2 linked regions of the Kluyveromyces lactis genome follow. The protein of the gene in region 1 interacts with the protein of each later gene in a pairwise test. Links are inferred from orthologs where the notes say so. Each region holds a gene or a part of one and is shown on either strand. Other genes may lie near its edges. The genes, in order: SGV1 and BUR2.

What was found.
Region 2: the proteins of SGV1 (region 1) and BUR2 interact in binary tests that used the Saccharomyces cerevisiae proteins (3 or more experiments, as listed by UniProt). The link is inferred for Kluyveromyces lactis from reciprocal best matches to the Saccharomyces cerevisiae genes SGV1 and BUR2.

What each region holds. Positions count from the first base shown.
Region 1 is NC_006040.1:891,346-895,480, forward strand, and holds SGV1 (cyclin-dependent serine/threonine protein kinase SGV1), read left to right. Parts: upstream 1-1,609; coding exon 1,610-3,547; downstream 3,548-4,135. Other genes in the region: ERG13 (hydroxymethylglutaryl-CoA synthase), read right to left, coding at 69-170. UniProt on the Saccharomyces cerevisiae protein: Serine/threonine-protein kinase component of the BUR kinase complex involved in transcription regulation.
Region 2 is NC_006042.1:1,211,360-1,214,793, reverse strand, and holds BUR2 (Bur2p), read left to right. Parts: upstream 1-1,584; coding exon 1,585-2,769; downstream 2,770-3,434. Other genes in the region: MFB1 (Mfb1p), read left to right, coding at 1-1,254; septin SPR28, read left to right, coding at 3,034-3,434. UniProt on the Saccharomyces cerevisiae protein: Component of the BUR kinase complex involved in transcription regulation.

The sequences.
Region 1 (4,135 bases):
GCTCAAATTCAACAAAATATGCAAGCCCGTGAGTTGCTATAACAGTAATTGACGTATTAAGAACATACTTGAGATGGGATGTAAATTTCGATACCCTTGATACCGACGTTTTGAGGTCTTGGTGGTTGATCCACAGTCTTTTGCTTCTTGGCTAGATCTTGTTCAGTCATTATTTCTGAAGGGTTAGCTGAATAACTATGGGAGTTGTGTGTTGATATAATCTACAGCGTAGTATGGTATAAACAACTTATATTAAAAGAACCGCTGGCAAGAGTTAACACTTTCTTTCATTACCTAAAACACGAAAGTTCATCATCAGTGTATCTTATTTTTTTTCATCTTTAAATATCACGTCGATATTTTTCTCGTTAAAAGAAAAAAAAGGCCATCTCAATGAAAATTTGTAACATCTGTCGTTTAAGAAAAAAAATGGTACAATTTTGTACAGCCAAGGAAAGAAACATATATTATGATACAAATAATTTTGCTGGATAATTCACCTCCACTGCGTAATTTGGTCCATTTTTCGCACGTATAATTAGAATTACAGAGCATACGAGATAGCGCTTCCTTTTTTTTTGTTGAGGGAGGTGCTTTTTGTGCTCTTTTTGTTATCTTAGCGATGAGAGTATCTTTATAAAACAAATGTGTAACGTTCAAGCTTCAGCTAAAAGAATAGTTCAGCCAGTGAACTAGGCTGTTCTTGGAGCTGGGTTGTGATATCCATCAAATATGTTTTAGTAAATAGGTACTTTGATAATTGCTTAGCTTTAGAAAGTGAAATATTGAAGTCAAACACCGTTATCTCCTTTGTTTCGAATGCTCTCCACTTTTCACCTTCAGGAGTAAGAACGAGACAAGTTTATCATCATCTTCCCATTAGAATAACCTATTTTTATTGGCGAACTCCTTAAGTAACAGCGTGTTCTAGACAATGTCACTAGATGTTCAGCAGATGGACGTTTAGGATGACTGTTTCATGATCGGCCTATTCGTTTGTAAGTGCTTTATTTTTCGTGCGTCATTTCAATACTATATATTCCAAAAAGGCGCAATTAAGCGCTATCCTAATTGACAACCAAGAAGATCACGAAATGTTTCTGCAGTGATATATACTTTCATTGAAGCTAGAAGTAGAATAAGACTCATTCTTAATGCCGATGTCTGATTTCATTTTTGAAATGAGTGTAAAACTATGGCTTACTGAAGTTCATAGGCTTGTTTAGAAGTTAAAGGCCCCAGAATACTTACCGTACCTTCAAAATGGCATCTACAAAAGAGCTGGTTATTAGTTATAAACTTAAAGCGGTTGTGACTCTTGAGTAGAAACGCCATATTGGTCACGTGATATTATTTTAATAATGACAATTTCAACCTGTATAACATGTTAAGCAAAATTTAAACTCAAATTAAAGAATAGTTATGAATGTCAAATTCGCTTTGTACAACAACGGTCCTTTTGCAATCAGTAATTATTGTGTGAACGGTCATTTATTGCATCACATGGCAGTTTAAAGTATCATAAAACCTAATTATTGGAGTTTTTGTTGTAAGAGTTACAAAAATCGTTGCTATCGCTCCTTTGCATTGAATAAAGAATACTATAGCCATGAGCACTGTGAATAAGAAGCCTGCGTCTTTGAAGTATAAGATAGGCAAAGTGAAACAGATACCCACTGTTGTTAAAGATGATAAGACTGGTTTGGAGTACATTCAGGTTCAAAGCAGAGAAAATGAAAAGGTGTACGGTGTTACTAAGTTTCTGAACAACTATCGTGAGGAAGAAAAATTAGGGCAAGGTACTTTCGGTGAAGTCTTTAAAGGGATTCATTTAGGCACAAATAGAAAGGTTGCTATTAAACGTATTTTAGTACGAGCAGAAAAGGATTTGTTTCCAATAACAGCTCAGAGGGAAATTACCATTTTGAAGCGCATGAATCATAAAAATATCGTAAAGTTGATTGAGATTGTCTACGACGAGTCACCAACTCCTAAGACAGATAGTACGTCTCCTCGACCTGTTGGGAACTATCATGGAAACAACACGGCAAATCAGCAGAAGCTCATAACAGGTAAACACTTTTTCATGATATTACCATACATGGTTTCCGATCTAACAGGGTTGTTACATAACCCCAGAGTGGAGTTCGGCATGGCTGATGTTAAAAACATCATGCTACAGCTGTTGGAAGGTATTAACTATATTCACTGCAATAAATTTTTGCATCGTGATATTAAGACAGCCAATATCCTTATAGATCATAAAGGTGTCGTAAAAATTGCAGATTTTGGTCTAGCAAGAAACTATTATGGTTCTCCGCCAAATCTTAAATATCCTGGTGGTGCTGGATCAGGTGCTAAATACACCTCGGTCGTTGTTACACGTTGGTACAGAGCTCCTGAAATTGTATTGGGTGATAGACATTACACTACGGCAGTTGATATTTGGGGGATTGGTTGTGTATTTGCTGAGTTCTTTGAGAAAAAACCAATCCTTCAGGGTCAAACAGATATTGATCAAGGACATGTCATCTTCAAACTCATGGGAACACCATCGATGGATGAATGGGGATTAGCTTACCATTTACCTGGATCCGAGTTGACAAAAACAAACTATAAAAGTACGTTGCAAGAAAGATTTTCGAAAGCGTTGAACGAGACAGGTTTGGATCTTCTCTCTAAATTACTAGCTCTAGATCCATACAAGCGTGTAACTGCCATGAAGGCTAAAAAACACCCTTTCTTCTTCGAAGAACCGTTGCCAAATGCACAGCTAACTTTGCCTAACGAAGAATGCCACGAATCCGATATTAAAAGATACAAAAGTGAGATGAACGAATCTATGTCTCAAAGACCGCCATCTGCCCCAACAGGACATACATCGACTGATAATTCCATAAGAGCTGTGACAGGTGCTGCATTTCCAAAAGAGGCTTCAATACCAAAGGCTCCTAGACCAGAACACATAAAATCAACCATTCCAGCGCAACCCTCCGCCTCACGGTACAATGGTGCAGCAACTCAGAACATCCCCAAAGAACCTATTCCGACTGCGCCTCTTCCAAAAGGTCCTAAAAACAGTATACCGACTGGACCAAATAAATTACCACCGAATCCTCGTGATTCATATGCATCGAAATATCCGGCTGAATCAAGGTTCGGTGTGAATACAAGAATTACTACCGAGTCGTATAATGCCGGGAAACGTTACCGTAATAGAGGAGGATGGGAAACTGGTAGAGACAGTCTAAATTATAATAACAATTATGCTCCACCTGCTGATCGTTCGCATCATCCTACTATACAACGTCCTTCTGCTCCTAGAGGAGGATCCTATCCTAACAGATATCAAAATCAGGACTACAATACCTCTAGAAATACAGGGTATAATCAATACAGCCAAGCTGGTGATCGGAGAAGTTACAGACCGGGAGCTTCTGAAAATCCAGGGACCATTGGCCATGGTAGCTCACAATCTACGCAAAAAGATTCCAAGTCATCGCATTCCAACAATGTCAAACCAAAAGACGTTGCAGACTACTATTGATTAAATTTAAATTGGGCTTGAAACTATGCTGGTACTTTTCTACTTTTTAAACCCAACTTGACATGTTTTTTCCCCAAAGTGGCCTGCTGCTTCGAGATTGTTAAATAGTATATAGATAGTTTACGAGGGAAAGTGCGTTTGTTTCTCTTCATGTATCCCAGAAATTCATCCATTAAAGTGCTAACCAGATTATGATATGTGGTCTGTGAATGATATCATTACGTATAAAAGGGAAATTATGGCTGATGAAGATTTTTTGCTGGTATAAATTCATTGTTGATGTATCCAGATTTGGAAACCAAATCAAAATTACGCACGTCAATAATCACCAAGCAGCAACTTAAATATACTGATAAACAATTTAAACATGGTCATTAAGTTATGCACTTTCCAGCAGAATTGAACCCTGGGGTAATTTCTTTGTTGGCGGTGCATCACAGAAATTCCTCGAACGTTTCAACTGATGCTCGATGTGTTTGCTATAAACAATTCCAACAAGCAAATAGGTACCGATTTGCACAAATAATTAAAAGAAGGCAAACAGTGCCTCATTTTCACACTGTGTTTGAGTATCGATTAGAATGTCGG
Region 2 (3,434 bases), on another chromosome or scaffold:
GACACAACATTCTTTCAATCCCTGCGATATCTGCATAATGGAGTAAGGAAGGTCTCAGGGAACCTCTTGAGACTGTTAGAATCAAATGATGATTTAGGGATAAACGAAATAGACACTGCATCGGAAAGTGAAGACAATGACAATATGAACAACGATGAAAATGATAATGAAAGTAATGGATATGATAGCCAGAACCAGCGAGTAGGAAAAAAATACATTAATGACGGGAGAACTGATGGTGAAATGATGCCCGACAACTCAGATCTCTGGGAAACTGAAGATGAGTCGGATATTGACACAACTAATGACGTTAATGGATTGGACCAAATATACGCTGAAAATATATCAGTTTTTGAGGAGGATACTGGGAGTGATAGTTATAATGATGGTCAAATTCAACCGGTGCAAATATCTATGAATGACTTTGCTGATAGTGAAAGTACGCCTACTAAAAAGCCACGCACTAAGCCGACAAAGATCGATAAGGAAGGATTGAAATACTTGAGAGTTTTGGAAGGCTTTCATAGGATTGGTGTAATTTCTGGGAGAGAAACACCTGATAGGATAATTACACATAATACCTCTGCGACTCCAAATAAATATGGCAACTTACTCGATGATGTACAATTCACCCCACTCAGCACAATAAGCTCTTTACTAAAAAGAATTGACTCTGGATCAGATTCTAATCATGCCCATTCTCCCGATTCGTTTGGAATTTCGCATTCGCGGTCAGGAAGTTCCGTATTTTCAGATGGTGCCCCTAAGTTAGCAGATCAGCCTTGGTCAAAGATCTATGAATTGGATCATCAATCGCTTTCAAGTTCTGATTCTGATTCTTCTTCTTCTACTGAATTTATACGGCAGTTGCAATCGTCTAAAAAGGTGAAGGACAAGGCTGTACTGTTTGAACGGCTCCTGGCTAAGAGTAAAGAAAGAAGCGTTTCGTTGAAGGAGAAGAAATCCCATGCATCAAGTAATAATGGTAATTGCCGAAAGGTGTCAGATGATTACTTGGCAGAAACAAGAAGAAACGCATCTCCAGCACCTTCATCAGTTTCTTCGATAGATACTGAAATGAGATTAACAATGCAAGAGGTAAAGAACAATTCAAATGATCATTTTGACTCTCATGCCAAGACGAAGAGTTCATCCACTCACGGAATAAAACATTCTAAAATTCATCATAGAAAGAAACTCAAAGCTTTGGTCATGGACGGAAATCGGATTTGCTACGAAAAGATAACAGAATAACACGATGACTTGACGACTTGGGGAATATACTACGATACTGCCTCAAGCCCACACCTTCATTTTCTCACATTTTGTCTATGAGTGTTGATCACAACTGATCTCAACATATAATACAAATGTATATATATAGTTACCCTACATTCATGATAACTTCCTTTTTATTCAGTGAATTACATATGCATCGTTAAAATCCACTGGCTGGCATTGAATCAGGAAAGAGAGACGTACACACCACTACAAACGTCATTTCATCCCAACCAACCATCTCATATCTACTCCGAATTTTGAGTCAATTTGAACGAATTTCTCGTGAGCTTTAACAGATTAAAAATGGTCCTTTCAGCCAGCGAAGAGATAGCTAATTCCCAGCCCAGTGGTAATGGTAAGACGTCATTAGACATCAAGCAGAATGAAGGGAATCCTCAATTCAATCCAAGAAATCTTTGGCCTGATATAATCAAATGCCCGAAGAATGAATGGACATTCGAGTATACTGATATAATTAAAAGGTTAGGTACTGATGAGGAGAAAATTCAATTGACGAAGAAGAGAATGGAGAAGTGTCTCATGTACTTCCATAAATTGAGGAAGGAGATGAAACTTTTCGATCATACTTACACTGCAGCATGTATATTATTCTACCGTTATTGGTACAAGTATGATCTTCCGCCTACTATACCTCAATGCATCCATTTGGCGCAAGCTATTCTAGTTACGGCCTGCAAAACCATGGAAAATAACAGACCAACTGACCACTATATAAAAGCAACTTGTGATTTCATGATGAAAGATGGCCCGTCCCCAACTGGTCAGAAGTTGAACGTGGAGAAATTGAAATGGGAGGTCAGGGACCAACTTGTTTCATATGAAAAGAAAGTGTTATGTCAGTTAGGGTTCGACCTTGACATTGACAATCCGAAAGAACTTATAGAGGAAATATTCAGTGGATATTACAGACATGTTAGAGATACTGATATTGATGCATCACTTCGAGAGATTTTCCCCGTGATTTTACAAGAAGCAAGAAATTTCATCATCCAAACAGGAACACAGCCAATTTCATTGCTATGTGATGGATACACACTTGTGGCCTTAGCCCTAATATTCGCTGGTGTGACCTTTCAAAAAAACAAAGAACCGGGCTTCAGCTTCCCTCATAACTTCTTCAGGAGGCGTTTCCCAGTAATTATAACCAGTGAAATCATTGCTTCGTTGTTCTCGCATTATCAACAACTTGAAAAAGCCTTTTTCGATTTGAAGAGCAACAAAAATAGCGCTTTATCCATTACTGTTGACGAAATAGACAAAGTGATAGATGAAGATAGACAGTTAGATCCCGAACCATTCAACCCTTACGACTACGACATCATAAAGGAGGGAGAAGTCAATGAAGAACTTTTGAACTATACCGAAAGAAAGATCGAAGAGCTTTCGAATAGAATCATGTCTGAAAGAAGCATAAAAAGACCTTCAGAGCCACCCGCCGAACAAGCTACGAAGAAACCGAGATTTTGAAAATTAATATAAACTATGTAGTATCATCACGACTCCATTGACGGACAAACTCATTCATACCTTTTTTCCCTCGATTTTGTATGCACTATTTTATGACACAAAATCGTCGCTTCTTTTATTTCACTGTCGAAGAATGTTGTCAGATAAAAGATAAAAAAGGGTTCGAAGAAAGAACCACATCATTGCATCATACTATTTGCGCACGGAAAAGATACGAAGGTTCACGAACGGTGGCAAAGTGAACAGTGTTTCCCATCAGCTATAATGTTTGGCAAAAAGAAATCTAATTATCAGATGCTTAGTGCAGAAGAAATTCGTCGCAGGAAAAATGCCAAAAGAGGCATACAGTTCTGCATGTTGGTGATAGGAGAATCAGGTTTAGGCAAGTCCACTTTTTGCAATAATATCTGCAACCAAGAGGTTTTTGGACACGAAGAAGAGGGTTTTGATCCTGCCACCGCACATTTGAGCCCAGGCATTGATATTGTGTCCAAGAATTTCCATTTACAAGAGGAAAATTCTACACCAATAAGCCTCGACATTGTTCTAATTCCAGGTTTGGGGGATAATATCAACAATTCTAATAACCATGAAGTCGTTGTTGATTATTTGGAATCCCAGTTCGATCGCGTGTTGAATGAGGAAATAAGAATCAAGAGAAACCC